Linked DNA regions of Anolis sagrei. The protein of the gene in region 2 binds, or shares a complex with, the protein of the main gene of each other region. Links are inferred from orthologs where the notes say so. Each region holds a gene or a part of one and is shown on either strand. Other genes may lie near its edges.

The links. Proteins that work in one complex are often made in the same cells at the same time.
Region 1: the proteins of RLIM (region 2) and ubiquitin-conjugating enzyme E2 E2 are in contact, whole or in part, in a crystal structure (PDB 6W9A), measured with the Homo sapiens proteins. The link is inferred for Anolis sagrei from reciprocal best matches to the Homo sapiens genes RLIM and UBE2E2. Residues at the interface, in NP_057204.2 of Homo sapiens: Ser571, Val572, Cys573, Ile574, Thr575, Cys596, Arg599, Trp600, Pro608, Ile609, Arg611; in NP_001357154.1 of Homo sapiens: Lys52, Thr55, Lys58, Arg59, Lys62, Pro112, Asp113, Pro115, Phe116, Ile142, Asn146, Trp147, Ser148, Pro149, Ala150, Leu151, Thr152.

Annotation. Positions count from the first base shown.
Region 1 is NC_090026.1:86,091,595-86,099,290, reverse strand, and holds the start of ubiquitin-conjugating enzyme E2 E2, read left to right. Parts: upstream 1-4,430; 5' UTR 4,431-4,876; intron 4,877-7,696.
Region 2 is NC_090030.1:32,285,842-32,294,029, forward strand, and holds the start of RLIM (E3 ubiquitin-protein ligase RLIM), read right to left. Parts: upstream 3,368-8,188; 5' UTR 3,170-3,367; intron 1-3,169. UniProt on the Homo sapiens protein: E3 ubiquitin-protein ligase.

The sequences.
Region 1 (7,696 bases), on a different chromosome or scaffold from region 2:
AAATGATTTTGATGTTTTAGGGAACGTCCGGATGATTTTGATGTTTTTATCATGCTTGTGGCAGGCTTCTCTCATGTCCCCGCATGAGGAGCTGGAGCTGATAGTGGGAGCTCATCTGCCTTTCCCCGGATTTGAACCTGTGACCTCTCGGTCTTCAGTCCTGCCAGCACTGGGGTTTAACCCACTGCGCCACCAGGAGATTTGGAGATGGGACGCAAACGTAAACAAAAAAAAAATCACTTATATTGCATATACACCTATGCACATAGTCTAAAGGGATGACACCAACTTTGAACCATTAGAAACTAAAGGTACTGCTGTATGGCACACACATAGACAATTTTGGATATTGAGGTATTTTGGAATTCCAGGTAAGGGATGGTTCTCTGCTTTAAGTAGTAGTTTTTGTGTTCTTCCTCCCCATTAGTGCTATGTTGTAATAACATATCCACACCCTTTTGACAACATTCAGATGTTTGTGAAGAAGTTTTTAACATGGGAAAAACTGGAAGGTATGTTATAATGAGAGTCAGCATGTTACAGTCCTTTGAGTGTCGGGACACTGGGAGACCAGAGTTTGAATCCCCATTTGGCCATGGAAACCACTGTGACTTCGAGCAGGGTACACTCTTTCAACTACAGAGAAAGGCAAGGGTAAACCCCTTCTGAACAAATTCTGCCTTTTTATAAGTTTGTCTTAGTGTCACTGTAAGTTTGAAATGACCTGAAGGCATTGTAATACTATTGACAATATTATACTGATGAAATTACAGAGTCAAATAGTGCAGGATTCTGCTGAACATTCTTCCTAATCTAGAAGTCCATGCAACTTAGGAAAGAGAGTCATGATGGAAGAATTTTATTAGAATTTTATCTTATAACATAAGATAGAAAGCTTCCTGTTCCTAATTTTGAGTAAATCTTTTTTGATCCTCAATAAGCTATACATACTTTTTAAAAAATTACTGATATACTGTGTATACCTATGCATAAGTCTAGAAATTTTAGAACAACATTCATCCCAAAAATATGGATCGACTTATCCACTGGTTAATGCGAGTACTATAGTTTAACTCCAATCAAAAAAATGAGCTATACCCTTATCTGAGTAGAATGGCAAAAAGTGAGAGTTGAGGCTTTCTAGGAGAACCTAAAGGAAGAAACTAAATATATCATCTGCTCTTACTGTGGACTTTAAGACACAGTGACCTTTCATAAGGTCAGAGAGAAGTTTAAAGAATATGCAACTCTTTAAACGTAGATTTAATGCTCACAGGTTTTGTTCAATAGATATTTATCTCAACCCTAGATTCTGACAGATGCTTATGTTTGTTCTTTGCTTCTAAAACACATGCTCATTGCAGTTTGGAAGTAAAAACCCAGATGTTTCAGACATGATGCTTTATTTTCAGATAATCCCTAGGCAAAACATATCTGTTTTTGATTGTCACATTTGCACACCATTTTTAGAATAGCTCCAGTGTCTCACTTCCAGTTCTACCTGTTCCCAGTCAAAAATTCTTCATATGCAGTCTAAACCATGATGATCTTTTCTTCCCTTTTCACTCCACTCCCATCATATTATCAGTTTAATCAGAATGGAGACTACTGAGAACATCTTCACATGACGGGAGATAAAACATCCATACCAATTGATAGGACGGAGCAAATTAGAAGTATATATGAAGATACTGTCTCTGTTCTGTCCAATTAATCTTTTATTTCATACTGCTTCTCCTCTCCTTCCAACCCCCCTTTCTCAAGTTAAGCACCAATGAATCAGAGTATATGGTACCAACTAGCTTCCTGATAAAAAATGGGATTTTGCTAGATGACTGGGGTATGCATTGTGACACAAAGAAATATAACTTTCTGCACTTCAAACAGCAAACTACAGAAAACAGTTGCTGTTCCAATCAGGACAAAAAGAGGTCAGTGTATCAAATTTGCAAGAAATAGCTGCCAATTCCTCCAATTGTTAATCTGCCACTCCATTATGAGGCATTCAAAGATAAGGAGCGAGTCTAAGATACTTGTATCAAACTGTGTTGGTGATGAAGTAGAGCAAGCACACTCACTTTCCCTCTCTTTTACAGTATAAGGAGGTTTGGGGCTTGCTTGCTTGCTTGCTTACCCTAGAGCCAGGCCCGTAGTCAGGATTTTGTTTCGCGGGGGGGGGGGGGGGGGGGGGGAGAGCTGAGTTTGATTCGGGGTGGGGGGGGGAGGGCTGAGTCTGAGTGAAAGGGTCTACCCTAGCAAACCTTTTGTATCGTTACCCCAATACCCCCATGTACATGGGATATATTGAGCATGGTGATCAGATCATGATATGAATAACATAACAGTTTAAATAATGTACCAGTAAGGCCTTCTCGCGGACCACCATGACCCCCCCCCCCCCCCAGCTATATGCCTGCCTAGAGCCAAGACAAGGCCTACATAATGCAGCTGGGTACAATCCCCACTTCTCAGACAGGACTCAAAAGGAAAGTGGAAGTTATTATTGTCCAAATGTGTGAAACATTGTTTATACTTATGCACACTCTTAGTGGCCCAGTCTAACCCCCCCCCCCCCAAAAAAATCCCCATTTTATTCAGGAAAGGAAAAGTCAGCTTAAGTGGCTGAGAGTGAAAAGGAAAAGGCCTGAGGCTGTTAGGAATTGTGAGAGTTAAAGTCCAAAATACCTGGAGGGCCCAAGTTTGCCCTTGCCAGGCTTAGCGGCACTTGAGGTGCACTTTACATAATTTTACTCCAAAAATGGTAACCCAAATCTGCTGGCACTTTGAAGGCCCTCGTGCTCTGCCCTCAATCTTTCTCCGGGCTCCATTCTTCCTCCACAAAGAGGATGTTTGGACCCCTCGAACTTCGAAGCAGTTGAGTAAACAGTATACTCTTTTGAGGTGGAAGAGAAGGCCCCTCACCTGAAGGGAACTGACCCCTGTCCTAATATGGGGTGACCCTGTCAAAAGGCCACCTCAGGCGACCTTCCCTGCCATTAGGCCCCCTTTTGCGTCTGTCAGTCTATCAGTCAGTCAGTCAGAGCCTCCTCAGGCTTTGGGCCGCCACACCCCTCACATCTTGAGTGCAGCTCTCTCTCAAGTGAGAGCCAGTGTCCTCTTAGGGAAGAGAAGCTGATGAGGAAACACAACATACAAACTATCGACAGACCCACCAAGAAAATCCAACAAATGCTACATTCAGCAAAGGACAAGAGGGATCCTCTTACTTCTGCAGGAGTCTACCGTATACCATGCAGCTGTGGACAACTCTACATAGGGACCACCAAACGCAGCATTGCCCAAACACGAATCAAGGAACATGAAAGGCACTGCAGACTACTTCAACCAGAGAAGTCAGCCATAGCAGAGCACCTAATGAACCAACCTGGACAGAGCATATTATTTGAGAACACAGAAATGCTGGACCACTCTAATAATAATAATAAACCTTTATTTATACCCCGCTAACATCTCCCGAAGGACTCGGTGCGGCTTACAAGAGGCCGAGGCCAAATACAACAGTAAAACAGTAGCACAACAAATACAACAATAAATAAACTCATAGAGCAAAGCAATAAACATTAAGCAATAGCAATAAACATTAAACAATAACACCACAACACAGTTAAAATCTAAGGCTGGGCCAAATGTAATGATTAAAAATTTAAAATATGCTGGACATGATCAAGTGAAATGGATAGGTTTTTGGAGATAGGTGCGGTATGCAATTAATCTAGTAAAGTGCATTTGGGACATGATGCATGGAGTTTCCTACTCTGGGAAGGCACACTGGAACAACCACGTCTTCAAGCTCTTCCTAAAGACCACCATGTCGGACTACACAGAGAAGCCATTGAAATCCACAAGCATGTGGACAATTTCAACAGAAAGGAGGAAACCATGAAAATGAACAAAATCTGGCTACCAGTATTTTAAAAAAACTCTAAAATTACAACAGCAAAACAACAGAGGGAAAACAATCAGGGATATCTAATCACCTCTCAACAAAAGACTGCTCCAGGCACTGTCCGGCCATCAAATGCTAATCAAGGTGGTCAGTTGAAACATTCACACCTAGCTCCAGCAAACAAGAGTTCTTTGTCCACAGAGATATAAACCCATTTTCCTAGTTCCAACAGACCTCACTACCTCTGAGGATGCTTGCCATAGATGCAGGCGAAACGTCAGGAGAGAATGCCTCTAGAACATGGCCCGAAAAAACCCACAACAACCCAGTGTCCTCTTTTCTTCCCTCTCGGCCCCGCCTTCTCTGTCCTTCCGAGCGTGGCCCCGCCCCCGCGCTAGCCCCGCCCCTTTCCCCCCTCCCTCCCGCCTCCCTTCTAACTCGAGATACGGACTCCGCCCCCTCCCTCCGCTGGCCCCGCCCCCTTTCCCTTTCCTCACACACCTCACTCAGCCTCCTCCTTTTAACTCGCCCCCCTCCTTCCCTCCCTCCCTCCCTGGCGGCGGCACGCGGCCTCGCTTCCCTACGGGCCACGCGCAGGCGCGCTCTCGCCGCCGCCCCCTCCTCGCCGTTCTCCTCAGCCTCTCGAACTCTTGGCTTAATTGGCCCAGTCGGGAGCGCGCTGCCTCTCCGCGCGGCGGGTTTACTTTTCCTCAGGCGGCGGTGGAAGAGGAGAAGAAGAAGGAGGAGAAGGGGGAGAGAGGAAGGAGAAGCAGCAGCAGCTGGAGAAGAAGTCACCGTCGTCGAGCGGGGGAGGGAGGGAGGAAGAGGGGGTGGGCGCACATGCCTCAGTGACCGGCCGCGGAGAGGAGCTGCCCCCTCCCCCGCCCTCGCCGCCTGAAGGACTGACACGAAGCTGGAGAGCGCCCACCCGCCTCCCTCCCTCTCTCTCCCTCTCTGCCTCCCCCACAGGTAATAACCCCCCCTTCCTCATGAAAGTATCCCCCTATTTTAGAAACCCAAAAGCCCCGCCTCTCGCAGCCAGAAGGACTGACCGCCCCCTCCTCCCTCCCTCCCTCCCTCCCTCTCTTCACCCCTCCTCCCCTTCATCCTGCTTTATTGCCCACGAGGTAAAAATCCCCTCATGATGCCCCCCCCCCAAATCCTCCTTCACTTGGGGGGCGTCCTTTCAAGGAAAACCAACCCTAAAGCCCCTCAGTCTCTAGTTAATCCTCTCCACTATTCATCTGTTTAGCAGGACTGGCCGAATAGTTCCCTTAAGCCCCCTTCCTTCGTCTCCAGCCCCCCCCTTTCCTCAGCCCCCCCCCCTTTTTGTGTCTTAACCATTCAATTTCTCCCACAGACGACATCAATTCCTACAGACTACATGGCCTCTAATCGCCAATTGCCCTCCTCAAGGCCCCCTTTCAATACTCAGCACTCCTAGGCCTTCTGTACACACTGAAGTGTGTGTGTGTGTTTAATATTGAAAATAATCCAGATTAGTATTTGCTTTGAACATAGAAATTCTCCTCTGTCTGGGAAAGGCAACCCCGAATTAGATATTGCTTGCCTTCTAAATTTTGCCAAGATTACACTGATTCCAACCTCAGTCACTAACCCAATTTTGCCCCCTTTCTGTACAGTTAGGGATGCTCCCAAGCCTTCTGCATAAGCAAAAGTGTGTGTGTACTTTTTACCCACATTAATATTTTCTCCAAACATAGAAATGTTCCTCTTTCTGGGAAAGGCAACCCTGTATTAAATATTCCTTGCCTTCTAAATTTTATCAAGATTACACTGATTCCAACCTCGGTCACAAACCCCATTTTGTGCACTTTTTACCCACATTAATATTTGCTTTGAACATAGAAATGCTCCTCTGTGTGGGAGAGGCAACCCTGTATTGAATATTCCTTGCCTTCTAAACTCAATTATTTCAAGATTACACTGATTCCAACCCACTGCTGTCTTAAACCCCATTTTGCCCCCTTTCTGTACAGTTAGGGATGCTCCCAGGCCTTCTGCATAGGCAAAAGTGTTTGTGCACTTTTTACCCACATTACTATTTGCTTTGAACATAGAAATGCTCCTCTGTCTGGGAAAGGCAACCCCGTATTAGATATTCCTTGCCTTCTAAATTTTGTCAAGATTACACTGATTCCAACCTCGGTCACGAACCCCATTTTGCCCCCTTTCTGTACAGTTAGGGATGCTCCCAGGCCTTCTGCATAGGCAAAAGTGTGTGTGCACTTTTTCCACACATTAATATTTGCTTTGAATATAGAAATGCTCCTCTGTCTGGGAAAGGCAATCCTGTATTGAATATTCCTTGCCTTCTAAACTCAATTATTTCAAGATTACACTGATTCCAACCCACTGCGGTCTTGAACCCCATTTTGCCCGCTTTCTGTCCTTGACAGTTAGGGATGCTCCCAGGCCTTCTGCATAGGCAAAAGTGTGTGTGTACTCAGACCTCACAACCTCTGAGGATGCCTGCCATATATGCAGGTGAAATATCAGGAGAGAATGCTTCTGGAACATGGCCATACAGCCTGGAAAACTCACAACAACCCCATGTGTGTACTTTTTACCCACATTAGTATTTGCTCTGAACATAGATATGCTTCTCTGCACGGGAAAGGTAACCTCGTATTAAATATTCTTTGCCTTCTAAATTCAATTCTTTAAAAATTACACTGATTCCAACTTGAATCTCTTTTGCCCGCTTTCTGTACTTGGCAGTTAGGGACGCTCCCAGGCCTTCTGCACATGCATAAGTGTGTGTGTACATTTTATCCACATTAGTATTTGCTTTGAACATAAAAATGCTCCTTTGACTGGGAAAGGCAACCTGTATTAAATATTAATTGCCTTCTAAATTCTTTCAAGATTACACTAATTCTAACCGTGGTCACGAACCCCGTTTTGCCTCCTTTCTGTACTCAGCAATTAGGGATGCTCCCATGAAAAAATGTGTGTGTACTGGGTTGCTGTGAATTTTCTGGGCTGTATGGCCATGTTCCAGAAGTATTCTTTCCTGACGTTTTGCCCACATCCATGGCAGGCATCCTCAGATTGTGAGATATATTGTATGTAATTTTTACCCACATTAGTATTTGCTTTGAACACAGGGCAAAGGCTCCTTCTTTGGAGTTTTTAAAGGAGAAGCTGGATGACCATCTGTCAGGGGTGCTTTGAATACAATTTTCCTGCTTCTTGGCAGGGGGTTGGACTTTATGGCCCACGAGGTCTCTTCCAACTTTATGATTCTATGAAATACAATGGTTCCTTTGTCCAGGAAAGGCAACCCTATACAGGCAGTCCCCAAGTTACGCACAAGATGGGTTCTTAAGTTGGATTTGTTTGTAAGTTGGAACAGGTACTTTTATAAGTGTACCTCTGGCATGCACACACATACATATGGTATTTGTTTTGCTGTCTGTCATCCAGGTCAGAAGATTCCACCTCACTTTTTGTTCCTGTAATAATTGGATTTATTTAAAAAATGTGGAAACAAGGATTGGTGATAAAGCTTCAGTAGATAACTGTTCTAGGAGTGGATTTCCCTTTCTGGAGGTTCTCCCACTTCCTGCTGTTGTGAGTTTGCCAGACTGTATGGCCGTGTTCCAGAAGTATTCTCTCCTGACATTTTACCCACATCTATGACAGGCATCCGCAGAGGTTGTGAGGTTTGTTGGAAACTAGGCAAGTGAGGTTTATATATCTGTGGAATCTCCAGGGTGGGAGAAAGAACTCTTGTCTGCTTGAGGCAAGTGTGAATGTTGCAGT
Region 2 (8,188 bases):
GTGCCTTCCCAGAATAGGAAATCTCCAATACCAAGTCCCAGAAGCACTTTATTAAAACTAAGATTGCCGCACACTGCACTTGCCCTATAAGCCTTATATCCCACCTGTCACATCAGCACTTTTAATCCTGTACCCATTACTCTGGCCCAGCCCAGTTTTATTGTGTCTTAGTGTATTGTTTATTGCTTGTTGTTTATATTGCTTTAATTGTTTTTAATTTGCCTTTGGTTTGTATTGTTGTATTGTGTGTTGAGGCCTTGGACTTTGTAAGCCGCATCGAGTCCTTCGGGAGATGCTAGCGGGGTACAAATAAAGTTTAATAATAATAATAATAATAATAATAATAATAATAACAATAATGGCTTAGTTACATCCCGCTTGGATGACTATAAAGCGATCTCTGTGGGTCTGTCTCTGAAGAGCATTTGGAAACTTCTGCTAGTCCAAAGAGCAGCAGCCAGATTGCTAACTGGGGCTGGCTGCAGAGAGTGGGGCACCCCCATTTTGTCGTTTTTGATGCTGGTCATTGACTGTAATACATACATACACACAGATACGTAGAGTTTCACCATGCCTCCTGGGTCATCAGTTGGAAACTCCTCCCCCAGCAACAATATAGTAATATATAATATTAATATTGTGCTGTGCTAATATTATATTACATACATATATAATATTGATATTATAATGTAATACAATATAATACTAATAATAATACAATATAATAATCTTTTATATTACATGTATTATTATTAATAATATTACAGTATAGCAGTAAAGTACAGTATATTAATATATAATACTAAAATTGTGCTGTGCTAATAATATAATACATAGTATACACATATAATATTGATAATATTATAGTGTAATACAATATAATACTAATAATAATACAATATAATAATTATATATTTTATATTACATGTAATATTCCTAATAATTTTACAGTATAGCAGTATAGTACAGTATAGTAATATATAATACTAATATTGTGCTGTGCCAATAATATAATATATTGTATACATATATAATACTGATAATATTATAATGTAATACAATATAATACTAATAATAATACTACAATATAATAATTATATTTTATATTACATGCGATATGACTAATAATATTACTGTAAAGTGGTATTAGTACAATATACTAATATATAATACTTTTATATTGTCGAAGGCTTTCATGGCCAGAAACACTGGGTTGTTGTAGGGTTTTTTGGCTATATGGCCATGTTTTAGAAGCATTATATCTCCTAACGTTTCGCCTGCATATAGATGCAGCTCCTCACAACTTCTGAGAATGCCTGCCATAGATGCAGGTGAAATGTCAGGAGAGAATGCTTCTGGAACATGGCCATATAGCTGGAAAAACCTACAACAACCCTATAATACTAATATTGTGCTATGCTAATAATATAACATTGAGTCTCCCAAATGACAAAATCATAATTTTTTGAGTGATGGTCAGTCCTTGTGTTGTGAGACGTTTTGTTGCCAAATTTGGTGTGATTTCGTTCATTGGTTCTTTTGTTTTTAAGGTTCTCATTACGCACAGAGCATGTATATACATATATGTGTGTGTGTGTGTGTGTGTGTTTGCCATTTTACTTTTTTGGAAGCCTCCCTGAGTCCCCTCAGGGAGACTAATTATGTGTGTGTGTGTGTATGTATGTATATACACACACACACACACACACACACACACATAATTAGTCTCCCTGAGGGGACTCGGGGAGACTTCCAAAAAAGGAAAATGGCAAACATTCAATGCCATACACACACACACACTCCCCCTCAGGGAAAGTGGATGGGTTAAAAAATAAAGTTGATTATGATTATATTCCAGTTTATATCAGATAATCTGGGATCAGATCCTGGGAGAAAGGGCAGTGTGGACTCAGGAAACCCAGTTCAAAGCTGACATGGTGGGTTCTCTGCCTTGATGTTCTATGGCTGTGTAGAAGGGCTCTGAGTCCCCGGCCCTTTCCACACAGCCATATCTCCCTGAATATCAAGGCAGAGTCCACAGTGCTCTCTGGATGTAAGTGAACTACAACTCCCAAACTCAAGGTCAATGCCCACCAAACCTTTCCAGTATTTTTTGTTACTCATGGGAGTTCTGCGCGGCAAGTTTGGTTCAATTCCAATGTTGGTGGAGTTCAGAATGCTCTTTGATTGTAGGTGAACTATAAATACCAGCAACTACAATTCCTGAATGACAAAATCATAATTTTTTGAGTGATGGTCACTCCTTGTGTTGTGAGACATTTGTTGCCAAATTTGGTGTGATTTCATTCATTGGTCCTTTTGTTTTTAAGGTACTCATTACGCACAGAGCATTTATATATATATATATATACACACACACATATATATGTTTGCCATTTTACTTTTTTGGAAGCCTCCTTGAGTCCCCTCGGGGAGACTAATTGTGTGTGTGTTTGTGTATGTATGTGTGTGTATATATATATATATATATATATACACACACACACACACACACACACATACACATACACACACATAATTAGTCTCCCCGAGAGAACTCAGGGAGGCTTCCAAAAAGGGAAAATGGCAAACATTCAATGCCAGTGGGTGGGTTAAAAAATTAAGTTTATTATGATGATTATATTCCAGTTTAAATCAGATACTCTGGGATCAGATCCTGGGATAAAGGGCAGTGTGGACTCAGGGAACCCAGTTCAACGCTGACATTGTGGGTTCTCTGTTTTGATGTTCTATGGCTGCGTAGATGGGCTCCGAGTCTCCGGGCCTTTCCACACAGCCATATCTCCCTGGATATCAAGGCAGATATCCAGCCCAATCCTCTCACACCAGAAACGACTTGCAGTTTCTCAACGACAAAAAAATGACATTTGTATGCCGCCCTTCCCTCCCCGAAGGGGACTTAGAGCAGCTTACAAGTTATATGTACATACAATATATCAATGCCTGCTTTGAATTGGACCAAATGAGTCCACACGGCTATATAATCCGGTTCAAAGCAGAGAATGTGGGGCTGTGTGGGAATTGTATGGAGGCCATTCCCCTGAAGGCCTCACCAAGCAGGAAACGCAGAGGGAGGAAGGAAGGGCTGCGGCCTAGTTCTCTGTCGAAGCCTGCCTGACTGTTTGCCTCCCTCGGCCGGCTTGCTCACCTCCGTCCGCGGCCTCCTTCTCCCTCCTCTCCTGCGTTCTCCGTCCGCCGGACCCGACGCGGCTGGCCTTCCTTCTCCCTGTCCGCCTGCTTCCTTTCCCCGGCTCCTCTCTCGCCCTCCGTCCTCTCAGGCCGCCATCTTAGGCTCCATTGTTACTAAGGAACTCGGGGACCGGAAGCGGGAGGGAGGAGGGGGACGAGAGGAGAGTGCGCATGCGCACGGCACAGGGAGAGGCCCAGCCCCGTTGGTTTGGGCTCCGTTGCGCACGCAGGAGGCGGAAGTGACGTCTCCCCCCCCCCCCCACTTCTCAGTAACCCATCCTCGTTCGCCACTGACTGGAATGCGTGCGCAGGTGGAGGAAGTGCGCATGCTCCGTTGCTGAACCTATAGAATGCGTGGCGGAAGTGCGCATGCTCCGTTGCTAAACCTATCCGGCTGGATTATAGTGAGAGAGTGGAGAAATGTGTCGGTCATAGAGTGTGGAGGACTGAGGAGAGAGAGCGGCTCAATGGGGGCGTCCATTTTGAACAGGAACTGAACCAAGAAGAATAGAATAGGTCAAGAAGGAAGAAAATAATAATAATAATAATAATATAGAGAAATAATAAATATTTATTGGATAATAATAATAATAATAATAAATAGATAAACATGTACAGGATAATAATAAAATAAAATAATAAAATAAATAATAATAAAATAAATCCAATAAAAATAATTAAATAAAAATAATAAAAATAATAAAATAATAATTAAAATAATTAATAATAATAATAATAATAATAATAATAATAAAATAGATAAATAAGAAATATTTATTGGATAATAATAATAATAAATAGATAAATATGTAGTAGATACTAAAGTCAAGAAGGAAGATAATAATAATAATAATAATAATAAAAAATAGAGAAACAATAAATATTTATTGAATAATAATAATAATAATAATAATAGATAAATATGTAGTGGATAATAATATAATAAAATAATAAAATAAATAATAATAAAATAATAATTAAAATAATTAATAATAATATTAAAATAGATAAATAATAAATATTTATTGGATAATAATAATAATAATAATAATAAATAGATAAATATGTAGTGGATAATAATAAAATAATAATAATAAATCCAATAAAAATAATTAAATAAAAATAATGAAATAATAATTAAAATAATTAATAATAATAATAATAAAATAGATAAATAAGAAATATTTATTGGATAATAATAATAATAAATAGATAAATATGTAGTAGATACTAAGGTCAAGAAGGAAGATAATAATAATAATAATAATAATAATAATATAGGTAAATAATAAATATTTATTGGATAATAATAATAAATAGATAAGTATGTGGTGGATAATAATAATATAGATAAATATTTAATGGATAATAATAAAAAATAAAATAAGTATTTATTGGATAATAATAAAATAGATGAATAATAAATAGTTATTGGATAATAATAATAAATAGATAAATATGTAGTGGATAATAATAAAATAGATGAATAATCCAATAAAAATAATTAAAATAATAAAAATAAAAATAAGAAAACAAATATAAACATTTAATAAAAATATTTATTGGATAATAATAAAACAGATGGATAATAAATATTTATTGGATAATAATAATAATACATAGATAAATATGTAGTGGATAATAATAAAATAGATGAATAATAAATATTTGTTTTATTATTATCCAATAAAAATAATAAAATAAATATAAATATTTAATAAAATAAATATTTATTGGATAATAATAAAATAGATGAATAATAAATATTTATGGGATAATAATAATAATAAATAGATAAATATGTGGTGGATAATAATAATATAGAAAAATATTTATGGGATAATAAAATAAATAAGAGATGTTTACTGGATTATATTAATAATAAATAGATCAATATTTATTGGATAATAATAATATAATTAAATATTTATTGTATGATAATAAAATAGATGAATAATAAATATTTATTTTATTATTATCCAATAAAAATAATAAAATAAATATACATATTTAATAAAAATAAATATTTAATGGATAATAATAATAAAATATATAAGATATGTTTACTGGATGATAATAATAATAAATAGATCAGTATTTATTGGATAATAATAAAAGAGGTCAAGAAGAAAGATTTATTAGATCATAATAATAATAATAATAAAGATAAATATTTATTGGATAATAGTAGTAATATAAATCAGTATTCATTGGATAATAATAATATAAATAAATATTTTTTGGATAATAATAAAATTTGTTGTTCATTCGTTCAGTCGTCTCCGACTCTTCGTGACCTCATAGACCAGCCCACGCCAGAGCTCCCTGTCAGCCGTCACCACCCCCAGCTCCAACCTGGACACAGCAGATTATTTGAGAACACAGAAATGCTGGACCACTCCCACAACCACCATGTCAGACTACACAGAGAAGCCATTGAAATTTTCTTGTTCTAGTCTTTAAGAGACCGGCACTGACTTGAATTAACTGTACTTTCTTAGCATAAGGAATAACCCTTTATAATCTCTCCCAGGCTGTCTATTATCTGGTCCTTGCTGGTTTGGGTCTTACTACCGATCCCAACTGCTTCTGGACATCGAGTAAACCTACCAGCCAAGGCTTGAAGATACTTCAGCTCGAATTCAGTGGTTCTGTAATGCTTTCTTGTGGGAACTTCAGGGCTGTTTTCCCCTCTGGTGCTGTGAGGATGAGAGGCTGTGAGCTCTCAGCCAGAGCCTTTGGGATCTTTTCCTTTTGTTCCTATTTCCCTGGATGGTCCCCGGATGGTTCTGAAGAATGAAGCTTTTCCTACGGGACGAACTGTCTGCGTCCTATAGACTAGCAACTACAACTCCCAAATGTCAAGATTCTATTTTCTCCAAGCTCCACCAGTTTTCACATTTGGTCATATTGAGTATTCGTGTAGAGTTTGGTCTGGATCCATTATTGTTTGAGTCCACAGTGATCTCTGCATGTAGGTGAACGACAACTCCAAAACCAAAGGACACTGCCCACCAAATCCTTCCAGTATTTTCTGTTGGTCATGGGAGAACTGTGTGCCAAGTTTGGTTCAATTCCATCGTTGGTGGGGTTCAGAATGCTCTTTGATTGTAGGTGAACTATAAATCCCAGCAACTGCAACTCCCAAATGACAAAATCATTTATTTTTTTTGAGTGAAGGACATACTTGAGTATAAGCCTAGTTTTTCAGCCCCTTTTTAAAGCTGAAAAATCTCCCCTCAGCTTATACTCTAGTAAATGTGATTTACTATTTTACTCTATTATTAGTATTGTTAGAGACCCAAAATTGAGTCTTTTTAGGTCCACGTCGTGGGAGCACGAAAGGAAGGAGACAGTCCCAATGAAAGATCAAAAAAACAAGGTTTTATTTTAGTTTCTTCATGAAGAAGACGGACAGCAGGGCAGCATGCACAGATGTTACCCTTCAAATGACTGCCGTGCTCTTCCCTTGAAATCTGCAAACTTTATAGCCCATTAGAAACAAAAAGCATAGGGAAAACACCTTTTGTGAATAATAATTCTGACCTTTTGATGGAAAGTACCTTCTTGTACATGCGGTCTCTGCGCTTCAAAAAACAACCTTTGAAGTTAACCACAAGCATCCTGTGTAAGAAGTACCTTCTACATGTCACATCTTGTTTCTTAAAAAACATTTTCTTCCATATTGCTCTTTTTAAGTCAGAGAAAGGGTATGTCTCTCTTTTGCTGTTAATTTCATTCAAAGCCCCTTACTTAGTATTTGCAAATTTCACTCAAAGACGCTTTCGGTATTATTTTTATTGCATTTATTATTTTATTCTATTTATTATTATTATGACATTTATTATTTTACTCTTTATTGTTATTATAACATTTATTATTTTACTCTATTTATTATTGTTGTTATTACAACATTTATTATTTTACTCTATTTATTATTGTTATTATAACATTTATTATTTTACTCTCTTATTACTGTTATTTTACATTTCCATTATTTTACTCTATTATTATTTTTATTACATTTATTATTTTACTCCCTTTATTATTATTGGAAGGATACGTAATTACATTTACATTGAAAAAGGTTAGAATAATAGTTTAATCAGAGTTGGACAGCTTTATCTTAAATTACAATTTTATGTAAATATTTTTGAATATTTACTCTACTGATGTCTCAATTAATGTAATTTTACTGGTATCTATTTCTATTTTGAAACTTACCAGTAATGGCTGCATTTCTTGCCTTCGCCTTATACTCGAGTCAATACGTTTTCCCAGTTTTTTGTGGTAAAATTAGGTGCCTCAGCTTATATTTGGGTCGGCTTATACTCGAGTATATACGGTATATATCTGTGGAATGATGTCTAGGATGGGAGAAAGAACTGTTGTCTGTTGGAGGTAGGCAGCAACCTAGCAACTACAACTCCCAAATGACAAAATCGATTTTTTTTGAGTGATGGACATACATTGGTTTGTTAGGTGTCTTGTGTCCAAATTTAGTGTCAATTCGTCCAGTGGTTTTTGAGTTCTGTTAATCTCACAAACAAACATCACATTTTTAATTTATATAGACTAGCCGTCCCCTGCCATACGTTGCTACGGCCCAATCTGTGTATATGTGTTTTTGTGTGTTTGTATTTGTGTTTATTTATTATTCAAACTTATATGCCGCCACTCCTCTAGGGCTCGGAGCGGCTTATAAAACAAACTGGAATCTAACACAAATTGAAACAATAGATCAAAGGTCAAAAGCCTGTTGAAGCAAATATGTCTTACAAGCCCTGCGGAAGGCTGATAAGTCCCGCAAGGCACGGACTTCTGGTGTTCCAGAGTGATGGTGCCACTACTGTAAAGGCTCTGCGTCTGGTTGCTGTTAGACGCAAGGTTTTAAAACTGGGAACTTCCAACAAATCTTGGTCCTCAGAACAGAGGGATCTCTGGGGTTGGTAGGGGGTGAGGCGGACCCTTAGGTACA